Macaca fascicularis: one gene and its partners. The protein of the gene in region 1 interacts with the protein of each later gene in a pairwise test. Links are inferred from orthologs where the notes say so. Each region holds a gene or a part of one and is shown on either strand. Other genes may lie near its edges.

The links.
Region 2: the proteins of C1H1orf94 (region 1) and MAPK1IP1L interact in binary tests that used the Homo sapiens proteins (3 or more experiments, as listed by UniProt). The two-hybrid records come from large-scale screens. The link is inferred for Macaca fascicularis from reciprocal best matches to the Homo sapiens genes C1orf94 and MAPK1IP1L.
Region 3: the proteins of C1H1orf94 (region 1) and TBX6 interact in binary tests that used the Homo sapiens proteins (3 or more experiments, as listed by UniProt). The link is inferred for Macaca fascicularis from reciprocal best matches to the Homo sapiens genes C1orf94 and TBX6.

What each region holds. Positions count from the first base shown.
Region 1 is NC_088375.1:200,802,120-200,812,046, forward strand, and holds the start of C1H1orf94 (uncharacterized protein C1orf94 homolog), read right to left. Parts: upstream 6,084-9,927; 5' UTR 5,600-6,083; coding exon 5,280-5,599; intron 1-5,279.
Region 2 is NC_088381.1:122,903,383-122,913,446, forward strand, and holds the start of MAPK1IP1L (MAPK-interacting and spindle-stabilizing protein-like), read left to right. Parts: upstream 1-4,761; 5' UTR 4,762-4,918; intron 4,919-10,064.
Region 3 is NC_088394.1:28,002,237-28,012,105, reverse strand, and holds the start of TBX6 (T-box transcription factor TBX6), read right to left. Parts: upstream 5,304-9,869; 5' UTR 4,998-5,303; exon of another isoform or gene 4,617-4,997; 5' UTR 4,569-4,616; coding exon 4,451-4,568; intron 4,368-4,450; coding exon 4,133-4,367; intron 2,699-4,132; coding exon 2,335-2,698; intron 2,237-2,334; coding exon 2,090-2,236; intron 2,013-2,089; coding exon 1,942-2,012; intron 1-1,941. UniProt on the Homo sapiens protein: T-box transcription factor that plays an essential role in the determination of the fate of axial stem cells: neural vs mesodermal. Acts in part by down-regulating, a specific enhancer (N1) of SOX2, to inhibit neural development.

The DNA.
Region 1 (9,927 bases):
TGTGTTTGTTGAATGAATTCATGAATGAAGAATGAACAAATGTCATTCTGTAGTTAGGGCAATGGAGTCAACAGCAAATCCAAAGACCTCATTCTGAGGCTTTGAAGTTTTAGAGATTAGGGGAATGAATGAATAAGTAATCCTTGAGTAAGTGGCTTGCCACAATTCTCTAAGCCCAAACTTAAGACTAATTAGATTTTGGAGTTAAATCAGCACTAGACAGAACTATTGATTTCTCCCCCAAAACCTGTCACTCCCCATTTCTTCCCCACCTTTGTAAATGGCACACTGTCCAACCAGGGGCTTAAACTTGGAATACATAGCCTCTTTTATTGTCATTATTATTTTAAAAGCTTGAAACTTGGTGACGGGAGTAATAAAGACAAGACTCAGACATGGAACTCAGGCTGATGTCTTAGACTAGAAACTAGCTCTGGAGATCTTTGGAGTCTAATACTCTCAGCTAGTGTTTTCTCCTCTTGGAGGGGTCAACACCTCTTTGAAAATCTGAGGAAAGCTTCTGTACACCCTTTTGCCTGAAAGACATCCTCACATCTCTCAGCATTTGGCGAATGATTTCAGAGACCCCATGGGCCACAGGTTGGAATCCTTTCCACTGAAGCCCTACACTCCCCACCTTGAGTTTCCCAGTGTTGGGTCTCAACATCCCAGTCACATTGATACTGATGCATGCCGCCGTCCTTGTTTGTAGGGTGAACTAGCACATGAAACAGAGCGTGGCCTCAATGTCTCTGTTTGTGTACCCAAATCCTCAGTAGGTCCATTGGCTCATCTTAAAACACACATTGAATCCTCCACTTTTTCCATCCCTACTGCAGTCACTCCTACCCAGCCACTGCCACCATTAGGCCTCCCCTGGACTCTGACAGTATCTTCCCAGAGGCCTCCCACTTCGTCTTTCACATACTTACAAACCATCTCCACACAGAAGTTGGACAGAGATTCAAACATTAGTGAATATGTTCTTGTTACAGCCCTTCCTAAAAACCTGCAAAAGTGTTCCATAACATGTGGAATAAAATCCAAACTCCCCACAGTGATCCTCCAGGCCTCCCGAGGCCTTGCCTGTCTCTGTAATACTTATACTGTGGCCATGTCCCCACCCCTCCTGACTCCAGTCTCACTGTCCCTCTCTAGGCTCACTCCCACCTCACAGTCTTTGCATTTGCTCTTCCTTTTGTCTTTGTTTTGAGACAGGGTCTCACTCTGTCACTCAGGCTGGAGTGCAGTAGTGCAATCTTGGCTCATTGCAGCCTTGACCTCCCTGAGCTCAAGTGTTCCTCCCGCCTCACCCTCCCGAGTAGCTAGAACTAATGTGTGCCACCATGCCCAGCTAATTTTTGTATTTTTTGTAGAGATGAGGTCTTGCCACATTGCCCAGGCTGGTCTCGAACTCCCGGTCTCAAGCGTTCTGCCAGCCTCAGCCTCCCAAAGTGTTGGAATTGCAGGCCTTAGCCACCACACCTGACCATTGCTCTTCATTTTGTCCAGACATTCTTTCCAGAACTTCCTTTGACTGGCTCCTTCTTAGAACCCAGGTCTCAGCCCTGATAATCACATCTCCTCAGAGAAGCCTTCCTTGACACCTGGCCTAAAGGAGCTCTTCCTATCACTTCACTCTGCTCTATTTCCATCATCACACTTGTCACCGAAATTATCTTTTTTATTTTTATGTGTTTCTTATGGGTTTCCTCCACCTGGAATACCATTCTCTTCACATTCCGAAGTTATCAGTTTTTGTATTTACATGCTTCTTTTTTCTCCTGTACTGGAATGTGAGCTCTAGGAAGACAGAGATTAATGGAGTTCACAGCTCCATTCCCCCTAGTTTTTCACACAGTTCTAGCATATAGTAGAAGTTTAACAAATATTTGTTAACTCAATAACTGAGTGAATTAATTAATACATTCAAAATGTGTCCATAGAGTGAAAGTCGGCTTGGGGAAAAAAAGTGAGTGTAGTATTGGTCGTCATTAACAGGAAGCAGAATGCAGACAGGGAGGATCCAATCTACATGGATTGGACCACCCCGGATTACTGTACTTGACTCTCCAAGTTACACTGCCACAAGGACCAGCTGTGTGGACAGGAAACTAACCAAGTTGGCACGTGGGGAGAAACATAGAAAACCAGAGGAGATTAGCTTATAGAGACAAAAACATTCTGGAAGGAATGTTGTTGCTGTCTTGCTGTCTTTCACTATCTAAAGGGGTACTGAAAGAAAAAGGAAATAGCTTTGGCTTGGAGTACTAAGGGCAGAATCCAGATCAATGGGAATTAGCTTGATAGAGACATATTTCAGTGATAGAAAGCAAATGGTCTTTTAGGGGATTCATAGCAAGGGAAGGGGCAGCAAAGGGAAATGGTAAGCTTCCCGTCTGAGAAACTGTACAAGTGGTACAAGTGCACCATTTGGCAGAGACATTAAGGAGGGGATTCAAGCAGCAGAAGATGGCCTCAAAAATCTCTTTCAAATTTGAAATGTCTGGGTTCCTATGATATATAGGTACAGAGTTAAGAAAAATAAATTCTGGCCAAAAAGAGTTCTAGAATGCACTTACCTATCTACCCCAATAAAAGAAAACACCACCAAAACCGGGTCTACAAATTAAGCAGCAGAAACACTAGCTGAGAGGTGTCTTGTGCACCTGAAGGCATTCTAGAAACCATAAGAACAGCTTTCTGGCTTTTCACTCTGTGTGTGATCATTCAGAACATGGGACTCCCAAATATTTTGACTATTCAAAGATGCCTCAGATTCTAAGAGAGGATAGCCAACATTATTGCCTCAGGGCCAAGGTGGTCTTGGGTTTCATTTCTGAAACTCTACCACTTCCTAACTGTGGGACCTTGGGCAAAGAAATTAAACCCTCCAAACCTCAGCCACTTTATCTGTAAAAGGAATTTCACTTATAAATGGAGGGGTGGAGGTAGCAATTGAAGCCAGAATGGCACAATGTGATAATTATCAAAACTCAGTGTAGACACATAGATATTCACCATATTATTCTACGTGTTTGAAAATCTGCATAATAAAAAGTAAAAAGAGATGGAAAGTTCAAAAGAGTACCTACCTCATACAATAATTGTAGAGCTTAAAGAAATGATTACATCTGAATTGCAGGGAATTTTTACAAATCTGAATTATTACCATAGATGTTTAAATATCCCATTTAATCATTCCAACAACCCTACAAAATGTGTAGTATTAATCTCCATTTGGCAGATGAGGAAACCAAAGTTTAGATAAATTAAACCGTAACAAATTCTTCAAATGTCATGGGGCTGAAATGGAATCTGAAACCAGAGTTATCTGACTCCACCAGCACACTGCCTTTATTTTAAGAATAGCTCATTGTGTTCTATTTTGTTGACAATTAGGATATTGTTTATTCATCTAAGTCAGTGGTTTCCTATCTCTTTTCTCAATAGCAGAAACACACTTTTCAAATTCAGCCCTTCTCAGAACTCCAGTAAGTAAAACTGATAAAAGCTAAACAGCTCTGGCTGAAATGGATTTTGGGGCCCAGCAACCAGCCCACTTGACTCCACGGTACCCCTGAAGCACCTTGAGGTATATGGAGCATAGTGTGAAATCCCAGATTGAAGCCGCCAACAACAACAACAACAACAACAACAACAACAAATCCCAACCTGAAGAAGTACAAGTTAAGGGCAGCCTGATTTGTATAATGCATCTTTCATTTCACTGTCTCCCATCACATCGGATCCTCATTATCAACTCTGAGGTGGACAAGGCAGTGCATATCATCCTCAATTTGCAAATGAGGAAATAAAGGCCAAATGGAGTTAAGCAGCTGGCCAAAGGTGCACCAGTTCAATTTTCAGCCAAGTGCAGACTGGAAGTAGAGTCTGTCTCCATTAACTCCATGTGACCTGGCAAAGAGGGTGCCATCTACTGGAAATTGCTACTGACCCTTGGTCCACGAAGTGGACAATCAGCTCCTTGGCCACTGAGAGCTGAGCACAGCCCTCCTGCCAAGGCCCTGTCCCGGAGCAGATGGCAATGAGCAGGGAAGAAGGGCTCAATGCCACTGAAGGGCCTGACAGCAGGGTTTTGGCTGTAGATAGGCCATTCCTATCTGAGCCATGTCGTGCTGAGCACAGGGCAGGGAGGCAGGACTAGCCAAAGTACCTTCCACCTTCATCTGCAGTAAGTAAATGAGCCCACAGAGGGACAGCAGGTAGTGCAGAGGTGGGTGTCCGTTACACTTTGCATTTCTTCTTAGCTCTTGCTTTGGCATCCCTGAAACCTGAGGCAGCTGATAAATGCCTGAATGGCTCCCCAACTCCAGAGCATCTCTGAACTGAGCTGTAGCATGTGTTGGAGCAGGCAACACTTAATTATCGGTTAGTCTTTAATTAGCTCTTAATTATTAACACTTAATCCATCTGTAAAATGGGGACACTAATACCTGCCTCATAGGGACTCTGGGAGCATTAATTAAGTTTACAGTCCACTTTGAAGATGCAAAATGTGAAATAAGTGCTCAACAGTGGTATTAATAACCACAGCAGATTTACCTTCTTTTCCTAATGAGGTCCCTTTTTCCTCTCTGCTCCTTCCTTTCCTTTCGAATATCCATCCCCAACAATATCTGCCCAACTTTGCCCTGATGGAGAAACACTTAGCTCTGTGTTTCCCAGACACAGGATTTCCCATCCAGGAAACGGGCTATTTACAGCCATCTTCCCGCACTTTAATTTTCTATTATGTCCTCTGAATATGTCAGTGCCTTCCCAGTAAATATTTTGATGTGTGCTCTTGCAGCAGCTTCTGTGGAGGCTGAATGGGACAGCTGCTCCCTGTATTAGGGAATTCCAGATGTGATTTAAAACCATCAGTCTCATCCATGTGAATGCCTAGCCTTTAGGTGGGAGAGGGGAAGGATCTTCTAGTTGCTTCTGGGGAAAGTCACGAGCCATGTAACCCTTAGCCTTGGCTAGGGTGGTTTTTCAAGGACCTCAGATTCACATGCGTTTAGGATGAGAGATGTCTGCTTAGTGGGCTAGTGAAGAGGCAGCCTGGAATATAGCCCTAATCTGGCTCTTCACCCACGAAACATCAGAACCTTGGTCAGCTCTTCTATAACGCTTGGACAAAGGACCATGGAAGGGGCAATATACAGCCTTTAGGGTTTCAGCAGCCTCAAGGGTGGGCCAGAACATTCCCCTAGAAGGTCAGACTTCATCTCCTCCCTCCTCCCTTTCTGCCAACGGAATAGGGGGGTACTCACTCTTCTTGAAAGCTGAGCTCATTGCCTCTTAGAGTTCCAGCCACGGGGACAGACAGCTGCTCCATGGAGGTCCAGGGCTGTGAGGCTTCAGGCAGGCCTTGAACTCTCTTCCAGATTTCATGGCAAGTCTTGTCTAGGCTGTCTTGGGGTGTGTCCTGGTGGATCCAGATGTATCTGGGGAATGGGCCCAGGGCGCAGGGGCGCTTGGCCACCAGGGCCGAGGATGAAGGAAGCCCATTCCCACTTGCCATCCTCCTCCGCTCTTTCTGGAAGCCCCTCTGTCCACCCAGGGCTAGAAGACATCCACCACCACTCCTCATTCACCAGAAAGGGAGATGAGGATGGGTCTTGGCAGAAGTGGGTCAGTTCTGTCTGGCTGTCGCTCCCACAAGGTGGTTAGGTTCAGAGGCCTTCGATTTGTGTGGGAGGGGTGGGTGGAGGACAGTTTTCTTTTGGGGAGGGGAGGGCTTATTTTGATTTGTTTTTATTTCCTCTTTCCTAACTTTTGCCGCCCTCCCCCTCTCCCTCAGAAGAAAATATTTAAAAGTCAACAAAAACCAGTAGCTTAGGAACAGTGGAATGCCCCGGAGCTCAGGAACCAGGCGCCTGGGCGGGCAGAATGACATCTGGGAACAGCTGGAGGGGGAGGGCTGGCTCTCCCCACAGTCCCTGGCACTGCCCCCTTGCGACGCCGCCGTGACACCTTGCGGCGCCTGGGCTCAGCCCATGCTGGCCCGCTAGGACACGCGGAGAACTGGGTGCGGGCCTGACACCATGGTAGGCACCCGGGGGGCGGGGCCCCGCAGGAAACGCTCGCCTGGGCGTTCCCAGGGAGCCCCTCGCAGAGCGAGCGCCAACGGCCCGGTCCCCGCCGCCGGCCCAGTTCTTGCTTTACTCTCGCCCTACCCCACCTGCTCCTGGTCTCCCGCTGCTGCTCTGCCGCCCCGGGAAAGAAGGGACGAGGCGTGTGTGGATGGGCCCACAGCCCTCAGTCCCGGCCCCCAGCAGACCCCTGCCCTGGCCGCGCCGCGCTGCGGGATGGGCACCGGGAAGGGCCCAGCAGCTCAAGAGCGCGCTGACTCGGCAAGGCAGGCTGGGCCGGGCGGCTCCCACCAATTTGCCCTGCCAATGGCTCCCACACCCTCGCAGTCGTCGAGCGGGGGAATTCTTTCTGTGGGTTTCAAACGCAACGGCTCGGTGCGCGGGACGCCCTGGGTTCGGAGCCCAAGACCCGCCGGTGGGGTGGGTGGGGGTGGGGCCCAAAGGACCCCAGAGCGCTTCGGCGGATCAGAAGTCAAAGCCAAACGCGCCGCCGCCCCACTTCACCGCTCCACACAAACCTCAGCTCCTGCCTGGGGGGCCCCCTCATCCTCGAGTTTAATCCTAACTGCCATTTTATGGGGCGCTTGCCCTGTGCCAAGCGCTGGGCTCACATTCAATCCTATCAAAGCTCGTGAAATTAGTACCACTTTTTATTATCGTTCTAAATGGGAGGAAAGCGAATCTCAAAGTCATAAATGATAGTGTCCAAGGCCCACTAAGAAAAGGGGAGCTGAGATTCAGACCCCAGCACTCTAGGCCTGATCTAGCCCTTGAGCACTGAGACTGCTTCAGTAGGTGGGCAGGAGCAGGGGTAGGAGGTCCGAGGTGCTGGGAGAAGGGCTAAGTTAGCTGTTTACTGATCAACAGGCCCCTACCCTCACTGAAGCGGCTTCATTCAACTGGGCACTGACACAGTACCTCCTCTGAGGGAGACTTTCTGGTCCCAAGAGTCAGGGCGTTGTTTCTTTAATAATACTCCTGGAAAGGAAGAGCAAGAGGGTGGAGAAGGAAGAAAGAAGAATGGACACAAATAGAAGAAGATGGCAGTCTATAAATGCAGGGCTGGGTTGAATCCTGACACTTCCCCGCTGTGTGACCCTAAGAACTTTCTGAACTTCTCCTATCCCCATTCATAATTCCCCCAGTACTGATGCAACCCCTCCTTTGTGCCCGATGAGTTGCTGGGCACTGAAGAAGCATAAGGGTGGGCAAAAGTGGCATGGTCCCTGCTCTCATGGAGCCTGTATACTAGTGAGGGGAGATCGATGCAAACTAGCCAAGCGAGTAAAGCAGCAATAATTACAGATGCAATGGGGCTCTGATGGAAAATAACTATTAGGTTGGTGCAAAAGTAACTGTGGTTTTTGCCATCACCTGCAATGGCAAAAACTACGATTACTTTTGCAACAACCCAATAACAAAGTGAGGCATTGGGGAGAAGAGGGGAGGCAACATTCCGTGGTGGTCCAGGCCCACCTCTTTGAGGAGGTAAATTTGAGAAGGATGAAAGGAATTCCTTTTCTGTAAAATGGTGTTCATAAATTATGAGGATCATGTTTCCGGCACATAGTAAGCACCCAAAAAATGTGTTGGATGAATTAATGGTATACTGTATGTAAAGTGCCTGTTATATAGTAGGTGCCCAATACACAACCTTGCTCTTTACAGAGGGGCTGAGTTCCTGGAAATGTTGACTCTAAATTTTGAAATCTGAGCTTCATTCTCCTTTGATTTTCATTACAAAATTGAAGATGTGTTCCTTTGGGGAAAATTCCGCGGGCCTCGACCGAATAAAATTATAGTTAAGAATGTAGAAAACCTTTTAAAATAGTGTATTTAAAGGAAAAGTGATCATTTCTGATGAAATATTAATAGTTCTGAAAATGTCACTCAGTGTTTGTGCTGCTTGGCATTTGGTTGGCTAACACCTAAGCTTAGAGCAGAACACCAACGACCCTGCACTGCCCAGGCCCCAGGATTCTGGAAAGTTAGCCAGCTCACTCTCTCTTCCTGTTCCCTCTCCCCCTCAGCAGGAGACCAGGCAACAGGGGCTAAATCAGAAAGAACTGAAAAAAAAAAAAAAAAAATCAAATACAGCAGGGATAGGGAACAAAGATAGAGCATGTTTTTAGCGTGCACAGATGAGATTTCTAGAAAATTCTGCAAAAATCGTAAGTGATGTACTTAGAAATAGTATAAAGCTATGTCCATATGGTAGCCACTAGCCACATGGGGTTGTTTTAATTTTAATTTTATTTTAATGTAAATTAAATGAAAAACTCAACTCCTCATTTGCATTAGCCACATATTATATGCTCAGGAGCCACATACGGCTAGTGGCTACCATATTGGACAGCACAGAGAACATTTCCTATCATTAAATACATATACTCAGGAACCAGAGTCCCTGGGTTCAGATTCTGAGTTCACGTTTTCTGGCAATGTAGGCTTAGGCAAGTTCCTCTGTGCCTTAGTGTATTCGTTTGGGAGGGCTGCCATAATGAAGTCCACAGACTGTGTGGCTTAAGCAACAGAACTTTATTTCCTTGCCATTCTAGAGGCTAGAAGGCCAAGATCAAGATGTTGGCATGGTTAGTTTCATTCTGAGGTCTCTCTCCCTGGCTTGCACTTGACTGTCTTCTCCTTATGTCCTCACATGGTCTTCCCTGTATATCTGTCCCCATCCTAATGGCTCCTTTAAAAGACACCAGTCACATTAGATTAGGACACACCCTAATGGTTTTTTTTTGCTTTTGTTTTTGTTTTAATCTTAACTACCTCTTTAAAGGACTCATCGCCAAATATAGTCACATTCTGAGGTATTTGGGTTTAGGATTGCAGTATATAATTCAGCCCATAACACTTGATTTCCTAGTCTGTAAAATGGGATGATAATAAAGAACACTTGCTTTGTAGCATTACTATAGATATTCTATTACTCACCAATTGCTTAACACATGGAAAGTCCCTCGAACAACAACTGGCAGATAAACGTGTATAGTCATTTGCTTGTTGATTACACTGAAATGCATGCCTTTGGAGTTTCTGAATAGCAGATTTGGTGTTTTGTGTAGGGAGGGAGAATTTTGTTGTCCTGGGGAAGTTGTTCTGTGATGGAGAGATGAATTCACATAATCACTTACTCCTTTCCAGGCTTTGTTCAGTTTTTAGCACCCATCGTGGGTCAAAATTGTGCAAGACACAGGGATTAGAGATGATGAAAAAGATGTCTACCTAGACAGAATCACCTAGAGAAGGAGGCAGGGGTAAAGCATTCCATAAGTGCCTGGTGCAGAGCAGTGTGATATAAACTGACTTATTCCAGTTTCCATCCAACATGGAGTTATGTTCCTCCAACACATGTATCTATGCCCAGCACTGTTTGAGGTGCTGAAGATAGGGTAATGAAGAAGACGAGCTTGGTCTCTGTCTTTTTTAGAGTTTGAAGTGAAGCATTTAATGGTCATGGACACCATTTCATCTGTGAATTATTTTTAGCTTGGAAAACTTCTTGAACTCCCCCTGACTACCTACATTACCCTGGGCAGGTTGCTTTAACCTCAATGTCTCCATTTGCTCATCTATGAAACAGAGACAGTAAAATATCGACCTCATAGACTTGTTTTATGATAATGAAATAATACATGTAAAGTGCTTATAATAGCTTGGCTAATGTATGTATCCAATGAATGTTGGCTATCATTATTTAGAATTCTGGGATTCTTAACTTTTCTCTGTGGAACCAGGAAGGCCTAAGGAAGAGGCAATTCTCCTTACCTCCCATCCAGTCAAAGCCTCTTGTCACCTGGCTTTCATCTCTGACACA
Region 2 (10,064 bases), on another chromosome or scaffold:
GGTTACCCCCTTCCTCTGTGTCTTGTGAGGATACATTTGGAAGAACATAGAGTATTCAGAAACTAACCTATATAAAATGTAAACAGTATATTGATTGCACTATATAAATAAGTAAATTTTAAGAGGAACAATGTGGGAATATATAAATTTGTCTAAAATTTTGTAACTCTGTTGAACAAAGGGAAGATTTGAAAAGTGTAAATTCCAGAGTTGAGAAAGTATTTAGCATGGTGGAAATGTGGAGAGCTTATTGGTGAGAGAGGATGGAGCTAAGAGAAATAAGATCAAATATTAAAATTAGGAATTTAGGCATTACCTCAGGGAAAAGCCTTGACAGTGAAAAGAAACTACTTAATCGCTAATAGCTAGTCTGGACCAGACACTTAACTGCGCTTTGGGAATCATCCTGGGCTAATCAGGAAATAAACTTGACTTTTCTATTTTTCTCTGAAGCTTTACAGGACATACTCCCACTCCCATTTTTTCCGAAGCCTACAGCATCTTGATTAATAGTATAATTCCTGAAGTATGCTGAATGGACTTTAAGGTTCCTTTAGCATTTCTGTATAGAGTTATATGTGATCTTTCTATAACCATGCCATTCACTTAAATAATTCATGAAGGGAATGGTTTAATTTAAAGGAAGACCTAATAGGAAGAAGATTAAAGGAAGCTTTTAGTCAGCCTGTGGCTAGATTTATTGATTTGGTGATCAAACCTGTGTTCTTTCCTGAATTTCAGCTAATGGCCAACTGTGGTCAAAGAATGGCTTTCAGTTAAAGTTTTGACTTCTTATTATAAATAATATAAAGAATGTCTTAGTAATTAGAAATCCCTTAATAAGTAGAACAAATGTGGCAAGTAGGACTCCTGTCAGTACACAAATTCCATTTCTTTTTATAAGAAAAACACATAAACCATTATCATTTATTCATGAGCCAAAGCCATTAAGAAGATAAATCCAGTTATCAGCTTCCTGTCTCTGAAGTTTGGATCATTTTATAGATCCACGCAATAGAGAGCTTCCTTCCTATGAAACAAAAACCTTGAGATCTCTTTTTTTTTTTTTTGAGACGGAGTCTCGCTGTTGTCGGCCCAGGCTGGAGTGCAATGGTGCATCTTGGTTCACTGCAACCTCTGCCTTCCAGGTTCTAGCAATTCTCCTACCTCAGCTCCTGAGTAGCTGAGATGACAGGCGTGTGCCACCATGCCTGGCTAATTTTTGTATTTTTAGCAGAGACGGGGTTTCACCATGTTGGCCAGGCTGGTCTCGAACTCCTGACCTCAGGTGACCACCCGCCTCTGCCTCCCAAAATGCTAGGATTACAGGCATGAGCCACCATGCCTGGCAGAGATCTAACTCTTATACTTAACTTTTCTTTAAAATATTTCTTGTCACTTTTACCTATAATCAAAATCCAATTAACAGCTTACACATTCATTTTGGTAAAGCAAATTTCACAGAAAAGTAGACAAAATTATAAGAGTTTCCTGGAGACAACACAAGGAAAACAATGTTTAAATGTAAAATAGCCTGTGTAATGTTAGGTGATGTAATGCCCAAGTGAATAAAAGATTTTTAGCCAAGCAAACTACTGTTTCTACTTTAGAGGAAAAAAAGTCAGTTTTCCATTTGTATTTTAAGGAAAGAACAGAAAGCACAAAGGTTTTTCTTTATTAGTGGCCTACTAGAAATGAGCAGTGCAAGAGTCTACCTGTACTATTCTAATACAGTAAGATACTGGACACAAAATGGAGGTAACTTTTTAAAATAGATTGGCTTGGAAGTTGAAATGTAGATTAATGGATATAACCCAATAGAAAGGGATTTTAAAATAAAGCCAAAGTCTATTTTTTTATTTACTTTCTAATTTTGAACAGGTTACTCAGTCTAAATCTTCTTTGCCTTTATTTCCTATAAAATGTAGGTGATACTTGTCACTCGACTTCCTGGAGGTTAATTCTTCAGCAAGAGGTGACCCTGAGAGCATACTTTAAAATAATTGCTGTACAGCCATTGAGTACTAACGTGATGATAGGTTTTCAAAATATCTCTGTAGTGGACCCTGCATAATTACATTCACTTCTCTTAGACTGTAAAATACTTTCTTGACTTGTTTTAACAGTAGAGATAGCAGTACAATTTGAATTTATGGTTTAGGCTCTGCAATTAGAGGAACAACTGCAGTTTCCTCCTACCCTTCAGAATATGGTCTGTGTAAAACTGATGTTTGCCTAACTTATTTTAAAAGTTGGTTACGTTTTCAGAAAATAAAGATAATCACTTTTGCCATGGTTATAATCAAATCTAAGCTTTCAGACTTGAGAGCCATGGTGTAAAACTCAAGGTTTACTTAAATTATGCTGACTTTGCTAGAATTGGATAAATTCTATATAAGCCAAGTATGAGTTCACATGTACTCAAATATGCAGTTTTCACAAAGCTATTACTCTTGTTAATCAGGCTTGTATGATTTATTCCTTACCACGAAAGAAGTAGACAATTGCCACTTTTATTTCTAATCCTTAAGTTGAATGTTTCTTCTTGGATGTAAGTTCAAATAAACTGATCTGGATAAATTTTCATTTCTTCTTAATTAAAACTTCCTATGTAAAATCCAAAGGCTTTGTGTTTTATTTTAAAAACATATGTCTTCACACATTCAACTTAGAATCTGAAAAAAATAGAGAAATCCACATTCTTACACATTTTCTAATTTATAATACACTCCTTTTAGTTTTTTGTGTTTGGATCTTCCAGAAGCAGGTGCCAAGAGGTGCAAGAGATTTATTTGGAGTGAAATACCTAGAAAGATAAAGAAGGGAGCAGAAGGTGGGGAATTCTTCATACCACTCTGAAAGTCTGACACCTGGAAGGAAGGATTGGGTAGGGGAGCTTTGGACTTCAGTGCACCTTCAAACTGCTAGATGAGGACTTAGTTCCCAAGCAAAGGTTCCCTGTAGACAAGTCCACAGGGACAGGAATGGCCTAGATCTAGACCCCTCCAATGTGCTCAGCTACTGGCTGATTGCAGGCAAGGAAAAGTTGGAGGCTATCCATTACTGGTACAGTGCCAGGACTAGGGTATGGTGAGGCACTTGGGCACAAATATTTGACTAATAGACTAAGGAAGACAATGTTTTGGTGCAATATTGTAAAATCAGAATTGATGCCAAAAAAAGCCTATGATGAGCAAGATACCAAATTTCAAATCAAACATGACTGGATTGCTGATTTCTTGTTGCTTCAGGCTTCACCATGGCTCCACAAAGCACTGCTTATTCACTGTCTCCAGTGAGGACAGGCTAGGTCCACACTAGTCGTGTAATTTTCCATAGGCCTGTGTGCCCTTATCCAAAAATAAGACTCTGGGCTTAGATATTTTAAGTTCCTCTGTTGCCCCTTTTTCAGTGTGAGAATTGTGTTTGCTGTGGAATACATCCAGGGATGTCTTCCTTTAAATAAGTTCACAGTTTTAAATGGCCACCCCCTGACTCACTAATGCCTTACACAAAGCAAGATGCAAGTGCACCACATGCTTTTAGGATATTTTTATATGTTAAAAAAATGTATATTGGCCGGGCGCAGTGGCTCACGTCTGTAATCCCAGCACTTTGGGAGGCCGAGGCAGGCGGATCACAAGGTCAAGAGATCGAGACCATCCTGGCCAACATGGTGAAACCTCGTCTCTAAATTAGCTGGGCAACGTAGAGCGCGCCTGTAGTCCCAGCTACTTGGGAGGCTGAGGCAGGAGAATCGTTTGAACCCGGGAAGCGGAGGTTGCAGTGAGCTGAGATAGCGCCGCGCCACTGCACTCCAGCCTGGCAACAGAGCGAGACTCCGTCTAAAAAAATACATATATTGCATATATGTGTCTATTTTGCACACCATATAATTGTCACGACATCTTTATTGCTAGTTAGTAGGTTCCTTGACTGGGGTCATGTCATCTGTGCCTGACACAGGAGGTAATGTTTATTCAGAAATGAAGATCGCGGCTGGGCGCGGTGGCTCACGCCTGTAATACCAGCACTTTGGGAGGCCGAAGAGGGCGGATCGCTTGAGACTAGCAAGGTGAGACCCCATCTCTACTAAAAACACAAAAATCAGCGGGTGTGGTGACACACGCCTGTAGTCCCAGCTACTAGGAGGCTAAGATGGGAGGATAGCTTGAGACCACCAGGCAGAGGTTGCAGTGAGCCGAGATCGCGCCACTGCATTCCAGTCTGGGTGACAGATGCCTCGTCTCAAAAACCACAAAAAAGAACATAGGAGAAGAGGCATTGATGAGGAAAACTCAGCAAAGACAGCAAATATCAATTTGTTAAGCTATTTGCAAAGGTTTTCTCTTTCCTGTATTAATCTTTTCCCTCTCCCCACTTTTGGCCCGAGGATCTGAATCGTTCGGTCAGGCAGAAATCAGACCGCGTCCATACCCAGCCTCCTTCGAGGCCTAGCTGTAAAAACCGCTGAGCAAAGGGAATCCAGAATCAGCCCTCAAGCAACTCAAGACAAGTTAGCAATTTCCGCCGGTATGCCGTGAACACCGGCGACCACTGGCGTTTCCTCTGAGTCCTCGGAACTCCGGAAACTCTGGGAGCTTTCAGCCCGCCCATCAGGGGAAAGCGGCCCGGGGCCGGCGCCAGGTGGAGCCCATCCCCCTGCGTCTGGCGGGCCGCAGTACCGCCAGGGGCCTGCGGGAGGCGCACGCGGCGCGGCCTGAGGGGAGGGGGAGAGCGGGCGGAGGCGGTGCGCTCGGCGCTTCCTGTTCCGGCGCCAGGAGGAGCCGCGCGCTGCTGGTGCTGTTGCCGCCGCTGCTTTCCCTGCCGTCAGTCAGGCTGCGCCCGCTTCTTCAGGGCCCAGTCCCTCGGACCCATCGCCGCTTCTAGACCCTACTGCGGTCTCGGATATTGCCGGGTGAGGCTGCTTCGGTACTAGTGGGAGTCGTGAAGGGGAATCGGGGGGCTGGGGTTGCGGAGCCCGCGGGCGCGGCCAAGCGGGAAGCGGGCGCGGTAACTGAGGTGCATCGAGTCACGTCCAGTGCTCGGGCCGTGGTCGCCTGCCTGGGACCGGGGCTAAGCGTTTCTCTCGGTCGCCTTCCTCCACGCTGCGGGCTGCCTGGGGATCGCCCCCCAGGGAGAAGGTGTAGGAGGCCGCTGACGTCGCGCCCGACGGGTTTCTGGGCGCCTGACGTCAGGCCTGGCTGCGGGGCGGGGCGGGCGCGGGCCGGCCCCTCCCCCACCCTTTCCCGGCGGGCGCGACCCGCTCGGAGGCCGGTTCGCTCCGGTTGATCCCGGACTCCCTTTGTTCGTGCGTCCCTAAAAGGCTGCCGGCCTCGCGCCTTTTGGCCCCGATTTCCCCTCTACCCCCACCCCATTGCACCCATTCATTAATTTCTAATAAAAAGGGAAAAGCCTGAAAAGATTATTACAGGAATCTCGGGCGCTTGTTAATCCGCAGTGTGACAACGCTCTGGTTATGACTCACTAGAGGAATTGCCCACGGATACGTTAGATGAATACCCAGGGCAAACCACGAGAAGGGCAGAATTTAGGGATCTCCTTTTTAGGACTGAAGAGCGCATACCTACGATAGCTTATATATAGGGGGACCGTTTTCCTCTTTACCTTGAAAAGCAAGAGTACAGCTTTTAATAGGTAAAGATTGCAGTGTTAAAGCATGAAGCCGGACTCGCTCGACCGAAAAATTTTTTTTTAGTTTTACTGCTAGAGAAATACACACCTGGGGGTTGTAAAGGTCTGTTTTGAAAAGGAACCCTCATTACAGGCAAAGGTAGCCTTCAGAAACATTTTGTAAGTTCTTTGTTCACTGGTGTTCTTTGAGGGAAGAATAGAAATTTTTCATGCTGGCATCTCTGAGCCCACAATGCAAAGCGAGTTTGCTTCAGAAACTTGGAGTGAATTGCAAATATTGGAATGTTCTTTTCCTCTCTCCAGGAGGAATGGGTAATATCCATCCCCAGTCTCTTAGCTGAAACTTTTGAAGCTAGTGTGTTTTGAATTCAAAAATACTTGGATTTTATCTTCATCTTTTTAGAAAGACGACATGTTAGACGAGAGATAACACCCCCAGCAGAATGGGGCACCGCATCATCCAACATTAATATTTGCAGCAATAGATGTGAGCATTCATTCTAAGTGGGGGCGAATAGAAACTATAAATAGCTTCAGGTCACATTTTGCCACCATGTAAGATTTGTGCCAAACTTGGGAAAGTTTATTTTTTCGGAAGTCTCTGGATTGAGAAGGGCAGATAAAGATTTATGGACCTAAAAGTAGGCATCGTAAAAGCTAATATTTGTTGAGGTTTTGCTATATTCCAGGCAGTGACTAAGAGATTTGTTTATTATATAAGTCTTAGAGCAAATCTATGATGTGCATACGATTCTGATCTCCCTTTGCCTCGAGTTTGGAGAATTGGACTTGTCAACTCTGGCCAGTCCAACCAGTGAAGAGCTGCAGTTGTAGCTGGATGGTCATACTTTAGCGTTTACTCTTTTACCTATAAGCTAGATGTCCACATACAAGGGAAAGAGAATTTGGTACCTGTTTTCCACCCAAGCACTATTTTAGGCACTTGATTGGACAGAGTCCAATTTAGTTCATCGCAGCATTACTGGTCTGGTTGTTTTTTGTTTTTTGTTTTTAACTGCGTGCTTTTTACAAACAGTATGGCCTGTTCTTTATAGTTCAGGTTCATTCAGATGAGCCGACTCTTACTGAAATAATTCAAACCCTCGTCTAAGGTCTCTCTGCTAAGACTTTCCCCTTCCCTTGCTATATTCTAACCCATCTGAACTGCTTATACCTCCTCACAGATTCTCCCAATTTTTACACCAACTGCTCTTCTTTCCCTAGGACCCATGTCACCGCCCTCTACTCCCAGCTCTTTCTTTATGGTCCTTATGGACTGCAAAAGACAGCACATCTCAGGAATCTCCATGTAATACTAAAATTTCTCTAAAGCCCAACACATTGTTTGGCACATATGTTCCAATAAATATATAACTAAATGCCAAGAAATATTGCAGGTTGCATATCCCTTATCCCAAATGCTTGGAACCAGAAGTGTTTCAGATTTTGGATTTTTTTTTTTATATTACACCAGTTGAGCATCCGAAATCCAGAATGCTCTAATGAGCATTTTCTTTGAGCGGCATGTTGGCACTCAAAAAGTTTCAGATTTTTGAGCATTTCAAAACCCCCGTTTTTGAGTTGCCCAAATGTAAAAAATGGAACATAATCAGATAAATGAGCCAATGCTGAAAACTAGCATGTATTCTAATTTATAACTTTTTATTTTTGGAGACAGTCACTCACTGCAAGTTCCGCCTCCTGGGTTCAAGCGATTCTCCTGCCTCAGCCTACCGAAGTAGCTGGGATTACAGGTGTCTGCCACCGTGCCCAGCTAATTTTTTGTATTTTTGGTTGAGATGGGGTTTCACCATGTTGGCAAGGCTGGTCTTGAACTCCTGATCTCACGTGATCCACCCCCCTGGGCCTCCCAAAGTGCCGGGATTACAGGCTTGAGACACTGTGCCCAGCCATTAATTTATATTTTCAGTATGATACATATCATCCCCTGCATACTAAACAAATCAACCCCAAAATTTTGATTTTATTTAATTTTGCCTAATAAATATCTAACATGTATATAGCACTTTATAGATTAAGTGTGTTACTATTTTCTGTGCAGTGGGTAGGAGCTATAACTTCTACAGATGGAAAATGGTCTCATTGAGAAGTTTATTTTTGTCAAAAGATACCGTCAAAAAGGATTGATGTCTGGGTTTCATCACTGTGTAGTCCCATACTGTTTATTACTCCGTCACAATTTGAAGGCTCTGTGAAATATCCATGAACTCCACTAGTAATTCATGGAGTTCAACTCTCTTAACCACCCTCCTCCCTGACCCATGATTGAATTGTCATTTTTACCCTAACAGCCATGAGAGTTTCCAAAATGTTATGTTTTACTTTTCTAGTGTATGTCAAAAGAAATTTTGTACTGTTTTAAAATTACTATTCTTGCTGCTCAGAGAATAAAAATTATTATTTTTCAGACGATGGGTGGATCGGACGATGCTATAAAATGGTAACAAAGTTTTGGAAATAATCGCTTTAGATTATTCCAAAAAGGAAAAAAAAATGAAAGCCTTTCTTAAGTATACATTTTTTTTATGAGTTCAAGGTTACATTGGCCTCATCTTAATAATCAGCAGTGAATCAGATATTTTGGAATAGCTTTATATTTTTATTTATTTTTCTTTTTGAGACAGAGTCTCACTATATTGCCCAGGCTGGTCTTTAACTACTGGCCTCAAGCGGTCTTCCCACCTCAGCCTCCTGAGAAGCTGGGATTACAGGTGCACACGACTAAGCGCGGCTTAGAATAGCTTTTTAGAAAACCTAAACTTTTTACGTTCTGCAACTTTCCTCATACTGAAACGTTCATGTCCAACTCTGTTTTTCACCTTTTCTAATGAAAGTATTCTCCAAAGAGCAAATTGGAATGCTTCCAATTACAGTTGTTCCCCCTTATCCTAGGGGGACACATTGCAAGACTCCCCAATGAATCCCTGAAACTGAAGTCTATACACTGCGGAAGCCTAAGTGTACCATGTTTTTTATATCTAATAACCAAGATGGGCTGATAGCGTATACAGCATGGATACACTGGACAAAGGGATGATTCATGTCCTAGGCAGGAGGGTGCAGACTTTCATTTTGCTACTCAGAACATGCTCTTGCCCCATTTACTTAAGAATTGGCCAGGTGCAGTGGTTCGTGCCTGTAATCCCAGCACTTTGGGAGACCGAGGCAGGCGGATTACTTGAAGCCAGGAGTTCAAGACCATCTGGCCAACATAATGAAACCCCATCTCTACCAAAAATTAAAAATTAGCTGGGCGTGGTGTCATGTGCCTGTAATCCCAGCTACTCGGGAGACTCAGGTAGGAGAATCACTTAAACCTGGGAGACTGAGGTTGCAGTGAGTCGAGATCACATCACTGCACTTTAGCCTGGATGGCAGAACGAGACTCCATCCCAAAAACAAAACTTAATTGTTTATTTCTGGAATTTTCCATTTAATACGTTCGGACCTCAGGTAACTAAAACCATGGATGAGGGGGGATTACCCTAACATGAACGCTGATTATTCTAGTAATGGAGAACTGGTTACTTTACTAAGACAGTGCCATAGAACAGAACTTGTTATTAATTCCTATGCTTAGGGCTTTGTTTTTTAATCACGAGATTCTAGCACCTCCCCTATCTTCCAAACTTGGATTTTGAACTTTAAAATTTTGAAGTAGTATTGTGAATCAGTTGAATATTATTAACTTGTAGAATAATTTATGTAATTCTGTGACTAGGTAACTGTGTAATTCTGAAAACCTGAACAGTCAAGACCATTTGGTTCACTTTGATTCTCAACTCCAGAATTAATATGAACTTTGATAAAGAATCATTTTCTATTTCAGAAAGGCTAATCCTGTTTAAAAAGCATGTTAGTCTTACAACTTACCATATATTTTCTACACTGTTAGTCGTAAAAATTTTATTGTGTGATATGATTGATGTTAAACCTTAACATGGAAATGGGTTGTATGTGTTTTTTGATATTCTGAATAAAAAGGATATAGCAGTTGGGATAGGCTTGGGTTCTTGTCCTTCATGTTCTTGTCCTTTCATTCCTCATGATAACCAAATCATAATTAGAAATAAGATGCTAAGGGGCCAGGTGCAGTGGCTCACACCTATAATCCCAACACTTTGGGAGGCCGAGGCGGGCAGATCACCTGAGGTCAGGGGTTCAAGATCAGCTTGACCAACATGGGAAAACCCTGTCTCTACAAAAAATACAAAAAATCAGCCGGGCATGGTGGCGCATGCCTGTAATCCCAGCTACTCGGGAGGCTGAGGCAGGAGAATCACTTGGACCCAGGAGGCAGAGGTTGCGGGGAGCCAAGATCGCACCATTGCACTCCAGCCTGGGCAACAAGAACGAAACTCTGTCTAGAAAAAAAAATAGTAAGATGC
Region 3 (9,869 bases), on another chromosome or scaffold:
CCAGGCATTTCACCCTCCCAGGGACCCTGTTGGGTAGGGGCCATCATTATACCCATTTTACAGATGAAACTGAAGGCCAGAAAATTAAATAACTAGAAAGTGGCAGAGCTGGAATTTTGTCCCTGCTCAAGCTTGTCCATGCTTTACTATTGTGTTTAGTGTCAATGGAAACTCCTTCCCAGAGGCAAGGCCAGGGCACGGTCTCACCTAGCTCATCCTTCTGCCCCATCTCCACTCTGAGCCTCTCTCTGGAATCCTCTTCTGTCCCCTCTTCACCTGCTGAACCCATCCTTTTTCTTTTCTTTTTTTTTTTTTTTTTTTTTTTGAGACGGAGTCTCGCTCTGTCACCCAGGCTGGAGTGCAGTGGCCGGATCTCAGCTCACTGCAAGCTCCGCCTCCCGGGTTCACGCCATTCTCCTGCCTCAGCCTCCCGAGTAGCTGGGACTACAGGCGCCTGCCACCTCGCCCGGCTAAGTTTTTGTATTTTTAGTAGAGACGGGGTTTCACTGTGTTAGCCAGGATGGTCTCGATCTCCTGACCTCGTGATCCGTCCGTCTCGGCCTCCCAAAGTGCTGGGATTACAGGCTTGAGCCACCTCGCCCGGCCCCTTTTTCTTTTCATTTTTAAAATTTGAGATGCAGTCTTGCTATGTTGCCCAGGCTGGAGTGCAGTCTGGAGTGCAGTGACATGGTCACAGCTCACTGCATCCTCCGACTCCTGGGCTCAAGTGATCTTTCCATCTCAGCCTCCTAAAGTGCTGTGACTACAGGCATGAGCCACCAAACCTATCCTTGCCTTAGTGCTAGCGCAAGTTCCTCAAGGAAGTCCTCCCTGATCTCCGAGAGCACACACCCCTCCCTCATAACATCTGTCACAGTTATGAGACAGTTAAATGCAAATGCTTTTGCATTTGATGGAGTGACTCCTTGGTTCATGTCTGTCTCTTCTGACAAACTGGAAGCTCCTTGAGGGCAGGGGCCAGCTCTGAGGGGCTACACTTGGAACAGTTCCCACGGCCTTATGGAACCTTTACTGTCCAAGATAACCTGGCTTCCCCTCCCCTGCCTGACTCCTACTCACTCCACTGCAGCCACGCCACAGGCACAGCCCCACCTCAGGGCCTTTGCACGTGCTGTTCCCACTCCCTAGTGTGCTTTGCCAGATGCCCACCCGGCTCCCTCCCATACTTCCTTCAGCTCTTTCTCAAGTGTCTTCTTCCTGCCGAGGCCTTTTCAGGCCTCTTATCTAATAGCTCACCCCAGTCCTTCCTATCCTTTCCTGTTTATTTCTCTTCTCCTTTTTTCCTTTTTTTTTTTTTTTGTGACAGAGTTTTCTTTCTTTCTTTCTTTTTTGATACGAAGTTTTACTCTTGTTGCCTAGGCTGGAATGCAATGGCACGATCTCGACTCACTGCAACCTCCACCTCCTGGGTTCAGGAGATTCTCCTGCCTCAGCCTCCCGAGTAGTTGGGATTACAGGCGCATGCCACCATGCCTGGCTAATTTTTGTATTTTTAGTAGAAACAGGGTTTCACTGTGTTGGCAGGCTGGTCTCAAACTTCTGACCTCAGGTGATCTGCCCGCCTCAGCCTCCCAGAGTGCTGGGATTACAGAAGCAAGCCACCGCACCTGGTCTCTCTTCTCTTTAGAATGGCTTCCTAACAGATGGCATTTTATTTATTTCTCTTGTCTGCTTGTCTGCTGTCCCCACTAGAAATCAGTTCCATCAGGGCTGGGGCTTTGGTTTACTTTGTTTGATTTATCTCCAGTGCCTGGAACTGTCCCTGGCACATAGCAGGTACTATATAAGTATTTGCTGAGTCAGTGAATGAATGTTTTTACTTACCACTGTATTCCTGATGTCCAGCACGGTGCCTGGCACACAGTGAGTGATTAATAAACATTTGTTGAATGCATGAACGAATGAATGAACAACTCCCACCTCTTACAGTTTCTGCCGTTCTCCCGGAAGCCTTTGGCAAAGGGATTGGCTGCAATCTTCAGTTGTGTGATCTGGGGACACATATCCAGGGTCAAAGCAACTGTGGTCTGGGCAGGGCGCCACCACCCCCTCAAGCAGGGGCACTCACCCGTGGGTTCTGGTAGGCCGTCACGGAGATGAATGTGGTCTCCGGAAAGCGAAAGGAAGCCATGCCCCCCCAGTGCTGGCTGCAGAGCTGAGCTGCCCGAACTAGGTGTATGCGGGGTTGGTACTTGTGCATGGAGTGCAGGATCAGCTGGGAGGGAGGAAATGGGAGTGATTCCCTGCCCTGTGCCCCAGCCTTGGCCTCCCTTCTAGCACCCCCCAACCCTAGAGTCCCAGCCTGGGCCTCACGTGGCCGTGGGGGTCCAGCGTGCTGTTGGTGAGCTTGACACGATGGAAAGACACAGGCTGCCTCATCCAATGTGCACCAGTGGCTGGAGAGTCGGGGTGAATGTAGACACGGTCGGGTAGGCGGGGCTCTGCCTTGCCGCTGGGCTCCCACCGCCGGCCCTGCCAGCGATAGCGAGCCCCGTCCACCGGAACCACGTCCAGAAGAAACAAGTAACGGGCCTCGGGGTCCAGGCCAGTGACTGACACTCGGCAGGCAGGGAACATGCGCCTGTGCAAGGGAGGGGACAGGAGAGGCCTGGTGCTACCCACTGGCCAGGGGTGGGCCCAGCACCAGTAACGGGACATAGCAGCAGGCTCCCCAGAGCTGTCAGAGAAACATCAAGGGAGGTGGAATTAGAACCCAGAGGGCAGGCCGGAGGCTGTGGCTCACACCTCTAATCCCAATACTTCGGGAGGCCAAGGTGGGAGGATCTCTTGAGTCCAGGAATTCAAGACCAGCTTGGGCAACACAGAAAGACCCCATCTCTACAAAAAATTAAAAAGTTAGCCAGGCATGGTGGCGCACACTGATAGTCCCAGTTACTATAGAGGCTGAGGCAGGAGGGTCACTTGAGCCTGGGAGGTCAAGACTACAGTGAGCCACAATTGCACCACTGCACTCCAGCCTGGGCAACAGGGCAAGACCCTGTCTCTGAAAAAGGAAAAAGGGCCAGGTGCAGTGGTTCACGCCTGTAATCCCAGCACTTTAGGAAGCTGAGGCGAGATCATGAGGTCAGAAATTTGAGACCCAGCCTGGCTAATATGGTGAAACACTGTCTCTACTAAAAATAAAAAAATTAGCCAGGTGTGGTGGTTTGTGCCTGTAGTCCCAGCTACTCGGGAGGCTGAGGCAGGAGAATCGCTTGAATCCAGGAAGCAGAGGTTGTGGTGAGCTGACGAGATAGCGCCACTGCACTCCAGCCTGGGCAACAGAGCGAGACTCCATCTCAAAAAATAAAAAAAAGAACCCAGAGGGCAGAATCTTAGATCTGGAAGGTTTTCTTGTCTCATTTTACATTTGGGGAAACAGGACAGACAGGTTAAGCGATCTGTCACACAGCAGGTTAGGAACAGAGCCATGACTCCTACCCCTCAAAGCGTATTTGCAGAAGCAGGGGTGACTAACTTTCTTGCTAGGAGCTTCCTGTCCCCACCCTCCTCTCCTCCCCTGATGTCCAGCACCAGAATCTGCAGCTTTTAGATGAATTTGCTTTAGAAAAAATATACCCTGCCTGCAGTAGGGCTGAGGACTTTCCACGCTAGGGCTTGAGCTCCTGCCCTAAAGACCTCGTCACAGGCCACACACTGACCATGTCCCTGCCTCTAGGGTGACCCTGGACCTAGATATACTGAGTCCTATTCAAGCTGCATACTGATCCCCAGTCCTGGTCAGATTTCCCTGATGCTGGTCACTGGGCTGGCCCTTGACCCCCTGTCCTTGTCTGGACACTGGTCTAGGCCACACACTAACCTATAACCCAGCAGGACTTCCTGACCCTGCCCCAGACTGACCCATGACCCTTGCCATAGATTGGTCCCTAAACTCAGCCACAGACTCCACAGACTAGCCCTTAGCCCTTGTCACAGAATGACTCCTGATTCCAGCCACAGAGTAACCCCTGTCCCAGGCCATAGTCAGATTCTAAGCCTAGGCAGAACTCTAGCCCCTAGGGAACCTCCCAGACCTAGCCCCTCCTCAGGGACTCTGCTTTTCCCAGGAGACCCCCACCAGAAACACGGACCCTGACCAGCCCCTCACCTCCCAGCTTTGGTGATGATCATTTCTGTTCCCACAGAGCTGAACTCCTTCCATAGCTCCCGGTTCTCCAGGCTCAGGCTGACCCCAGGGAGGGAATGGAGGGCCTCTGGAGCTGATGGGGCCGGTTCAGTGCCCATGGCAGGGGGCAGAAGGGGCAGAGGTGGGTGTGCGGCCAGGGTGCGGGGAGCAGCCTCCATCCCGGAGAGGAAGCAATCCAGTTTGGGGGTGTCCAGGTCTGGAAGCCGGGGAAAAATGAGGAGCCAGCCAAGGGCCCCAGCCTCCCTATTCTCCTACCCAGGAGCTGGTCCCAACGCTCACCGGGGTAGCGGTAGCCCTCTGCTAGGCCGGGTGGGAAGCTGGAGTCGGCCCCAGGTTGGGCGGGCCCCAGGCGGTAGCCGGCCCCCAGGGACGGGTACAATTCTCGTGGATGGTACATGTTGTAGTTCCGTCTGGTCTCAGGTCTCGCTGCCTAGAGCCCCCGGTGCTGCGAGATGCCCCCTTTATAGCTCACAGCTCAGCCCCTTCCAGACCCAGGATCACAGCCCCTCCCCTCTTTGGGGCCCTGGATTTGGGCTGGGGTGGAGACCCCTGGGGCCTCGAAGGGGTCCGAGCAGGGGCCGGATACCTGGGTACGGTCCCCTCCTTCCCTCCCTCCCCACCCCGGGCGGCTTCATTAGCCTCGACCCCCTGCCCCCTCATTACATAATTAACTCCTCGGCTTGATTGATCCCCGGGGCTCGGACAGGGACGCAGTTTGGCGCTTCCGGCCAGCTGGTCCCCGTTCCCACGGGGGGGAGCCCCAGCTAGGGATAAGCTGGGGGGCGGGGCATGGAGCCTGGACGGAGCCTGGAGTCCCGGGACACACCTTGGCGCCCCCGACCTTCTGGCAGGTGACCGCCCTCCGCCCCCCTTCACTTGGAGGCCGGGCCCTGGAGGGAAGCAGCATGACCAGAGGGAAAGTGCAGGCTGGAGGGATGCGGCCTGAGCTGATTTCACAGGGCACTCGGGGTCGCGAGGAGGCCGCAGCCCAGTCCCGAGCACCGTAGTCCTCCCTGGTCCCCATGCTTTAAAAAAAACCTCCACGCTGAGCCAAGCCTCCAAGGTTCGGAGGCGCGCACAGTCCGACAGCTTCTGACGCCTCGCGGCAGGGTTTCCCAGAAGGTCCCACGCTGGGGAACCCTCGGAACTACACTTCCCGGCAGGCCCAGCGTTGAGGCGCGCCCGAAAGAGCCGGATGGACCACGCGGGGGCCGCTGGAAGTTGTAGTCCGGCCGCGAGGGGGCTGCGAGGCCGGCGACGCGGTTGCCTCCCTGGGGCGCTGTCCCTAGGCGGCGGCCAAATGCTGCAGCCGAGCACACGCAGATCAGGCGAGGTCACAGCGTAGGCAGCCAGAGTGGGCTCCGGGCCTCCGCCGGCAGTGAAACCGCCCCGGTTCCTGGAGACCCAGCTTGAACGACTTGCCTACCCCATGCCCCGCCGGGTCTCAGAACCGCACAGGTCTATAGGGGCAGAAATCTCCGCTTGAGCTTCCCCTCCCCGGATTACACGCGAGCCTGAGCTGTCTCCACTCCATTGTTTTATTATGTACAAACGCTACAGAACGAGGGGGACAGACACGCGTGGGGTCAGAGGGGCTTGGTGGGAGGAGTTCACAGAGCAGACGGTGCACTGGGGCCAGGAGAGCAGAACACAGGCCATATCTATAGGGTAAGCGGGGAAGGAGGGGGTTAAAAACGAGATCCAAGCCAGCCAGATCGCAGGAGGTGCGGGGGCGTCGTCCCCCTTCTGTTCTCCCCCCAAGGTCACAGTGCATGCAATAAAATATATGTACAGGAGCTGGATCCGTCCTCTGCAGGGGCCCTGAGGGTCCAGAGCTCCCTTTGGGCGGAGGGAAGCCGGTGGCGCTCCCTGGCGGCCAGGCCGGGCTGGAGCCACATGCGTCGGGGAGCGGGGGTCAGTCCCAGCCGTTGTCTTTGATCATGTGGTTGAGTTCAATGATGTACTTCCCCTCTTTGTACTTCTGGCTGCTCTCAAAGGCCTGTTCCTGAAAGGAGGGGCGGGACCATCATCCCCGGAGCAAGTCTCACCACAAGGCACAGGGGTTGGGGAGTGGACATGAGTGGCCCCATTTTACATATGAGGAAACTGTGGCGGAGGGGCAGGGCCGCGTTTCTCACAAACACAGAGTAGAACTCCCTGACTCAAAGGTACTTTTCAAGTATTAATGATGGCTCCAACAGAGAAGATAGGGAAGTGGCTAAAAGATTTCACAGTTCAGGTTTGCAAACTGGTGGCTTCATGGCCATTTTGGCCTACAACATGTATTATATGTGGCAAACGACATATATAAACTCTCTCTTGGACAGCAGACAGTTTAATAAAAATAACTTTAAAGTATTAAAATATAATTAGGCCGTGCTCACTCCAGTTTGCCCAGCCTGCCCCCAACTCCCAACCCCTCCAGTCTATGCTACCCTTTACACATCTACAGTATCTGCTTGGCCTTGCAGGCACTTGAGGGTTTTTTTTTGTTTGTCTTGTTTTATTTTGAGAGGGAGTCTCGTTCTGTTGCCCAAGCTGGAGTGCAACGGCACGATCTCGGCTCACTGCAACCTCCGCCTCCTGGGTTCAAGCAATTCTCCTGCCTCAGCCTCCTGAGTAGCTGGGACTACAGGCACCCGCCACCACGCCGAGCTAATTTTTATATTTTTAGTAGAGATGGGGTTTCACCATGTTAGTCAGGCTGTTCTTGAACTCCTGACCTCAGATGATCCACCTGCCTCGGTCTCCCAAAGTGCTAGGATTACAGGCATGAACCATCATGCCTGGCCTGGCACTTGAGTTTTTGACCTCTTGTCTAGGCCAGCTCTTTATTTATTTATTATTATTATTTTTGAGACGGAGTCTCGCTCTCTCGCCCAGGCTAGAGTGCAGTGGTGCAATCTCGGCTCACTACAAGCTCCGCCTCCCAGGTTCACACAACTCTCCTGCCTCAGCCTCACGGGTAGCTGGGACTACAGGTGCCCACCACCACACCCAGCTAATTTTTAAAATATTTTTAGTAGAGACGGGGTTTCACCGTGTTAGCCAGGATGGTCTCAATCTCCTGACTTCATGATCCACCCACCTTGGCCTCCCAAAGTGCTGGGATTACAGGAATGAGCCACCGTGCCCGGCCGGCCATCTCTGATAGAGGTCGAGTGGCCAAGCCACCTGTCCAGAGACACACAGCCAATCTGTGGCAGGGCCAGCAGTGAGCTCAGGTCAGGGCTGGCTGGCTGGCTTTGCCTGGGGCATCTACCTCACAGAGGCACCACAGCTCCAAGCGACGCCTGAAGAATCCTGTTCCTTGCAGTGTCCCAAGAGCATCTTCCTTTGCCACATCTAATCTGATCCCTGTAACAATCCTGGGCGCTAGACAGTGGCTTTATCTTCCACTGACAGATAAGGAAATGAGACTCAGGGTAGTGAAATCAGACCCTGGACAGCAGCAGTGGCAATGAGGGCTATGGAAAGGGAGGCTGGTGAACCCAACCTCCATGTTGTTGCACAGTCTGGGGCAATTTTTTCTGATACTCTGAATGACAATATAAGCTGGTGGTCAAGAGTTTGGAGTGAAAAAAAAAAACCAACCAACTCAGATTCTGGTCCCTATTCTGTCACTTACCAGTTGTGTGATCTTGGGCAAGTTACCTAACATCTTTGGGCCTCCCTGTCTTGTTCTGTAGAGATAATACTAGCTTCTACCTAAAGGATCACTGCAATGATTGAATGAGATAACAGATGCCAGGCACACAACAGTGCAAGGCGCATAAGCATTCAATAAATGGTGACTCTGATTATATCCTAACTCTCAAATGCGGATCCAAGTGCCTGGGAGAAGGGATAGGTTAAGAGAAAAGTTCTACAGCCCTTGCAGGGTGCAAGAGAAGAAAATGTGGTCAGGGATGAAAAGACAGTCTGACTTGTGTGAGCTAGGCCTATGCAATCTGAAAGGCTATAGGATGACTGCTTGTCAGGAGGAGGTGTTGGAAGGTCAGGTCAAAGGCTAGCCTAGGGTCAGAGGTGGCTGACTCACATATTTCCAGCCCAAAGTGGTCTTGCAGTTCTCGCAGTGAATGTCGGCGACAGCATGGAGGCCGGTCAGCAGCACCCGCTCCTCGGCTGGCCCGCAGCCCACGTTCACCCTGTGGGGACATGGGGCAGTCCCAGGGAGGGTCCTGCCATCACAGGGCCCCCCTCAAGCACTGTGCCTGTCCTCCGCATCCAAGAGATGATGCTCACAGCTTCCTGCCTGCACCGGGGAACTCTGGGAGTCTCAGCAGGATGCCAGGGGTCACAGGTCACAACAGATGTCAGGGAAAGCAAGAAGGGAGGCCAGATACTCACACAGAGTTGAAGAGGTAGGCACGCCCCTGACTGCCCTGGAAGGACTAAAGGGTGGGAGGGTGGGAAGAGAGGAGGGGGTCAGGGCTGCCGGTGGGGAGCTGCCAGGCAGCCCCTATAGGTTCCAGCCCCACTGTGGCCTGGTTGGTTACCTTGGAGATGAGGTCGTCGTGGTTGGCCAGGTGAGCGCGGCAGTGGGCACAGCTATACCTCCGGTGACAATCATCCAAGTAGGCCTGAAACGTCTTGGGCTTTGAAATCCGCACCATGGCGGGGGCCGGGGGCAGTGGCCCCACGCGGGGAGCGGCCCACGGGGAGCAGAGGGAGCCCAGTGCCTGCCGGGGAGGGAGTAGGTGGGCTGTCAGGACCTGGGCCATACACATGCGAGGCACTCCCAGAGCCGTGGGGACTCACTCTGTCACACTCGGCTGCTCTCTCCTTTCCCCAGAGCCAGCAGCCTCTCGGGGACCAGAGGCGTCTCAGTTTTGACTCAGTGAGGAGGCCTCAGGTTGCATCAATGGGGAAACTGAGGCTCGGAGGAGCCCAGGGTGAGTCACCCGCCTGCTTCCGGCCTCACCCTTGCTGACCTGGCAGCTGAAGCTGGAGGAAGGGGCTTTGGAGGGCTGGGCTGTCAGTTCCCAGTTTCGGGGGAGCATGGACGGGCAGGCGCTGGTTGGTCCTTGCGACCTCATCTGGAGAGCAGTGGGGTTCACTGGGGGTTTCGGGGGTTCATCGGGGAGAGGGTCCCCCGCCTGGAGGAGGCAGGAGGCCTCGCCGTGAAGGTGGAGGGTCACCTAGCAGAGGAGGGGCTCTCACCTGCGGTCGCCTAGGCCTCCTCTACGCCCAGGGGCTCTTACCTGCATCGCGGAGCCTTACCTGGACCCCGGGGCTCACCTGGGGCGCGGGGGTGGGGGCGGGCGCCGGGGGAGGGGGCAGTCCTGGCCAGCTGGGCGGGGGCGCGGGGCGACACGCAGCCCTGACGGCGCGGGCCTCACCTCGCCTGGGCGCGCGGGGCCCGGTCCGCCGGGGTGGGCTGGCCTGGGAGTGGGGGGCGCTCCTGGCGGGCGCCGTCCCCCCCGGCCCGGGTTCGCAGGCGCCTGGACTTGTTTACACCGAGCCCAGCTGCTGCCGCCGCTGCGGCGGGAGGGGGAGGGGACCCGCCTCCCATCCCGGCGGCCGCCGTGGCCAATGGGCGCTCCGCATGCAAATGAGGGGGCGCGTCACACGGCGGCCGGCGCAGGCCCCGGCCGCCCCTCCCCCGCCGCCCGCTCCCGCCGGCCCGGAAATGCGGCTGCGGCCCGCGCGCCCCCGGCCTGCTAGCATTCCTGCTCGCGGCCCGCGCAGGGGCGGG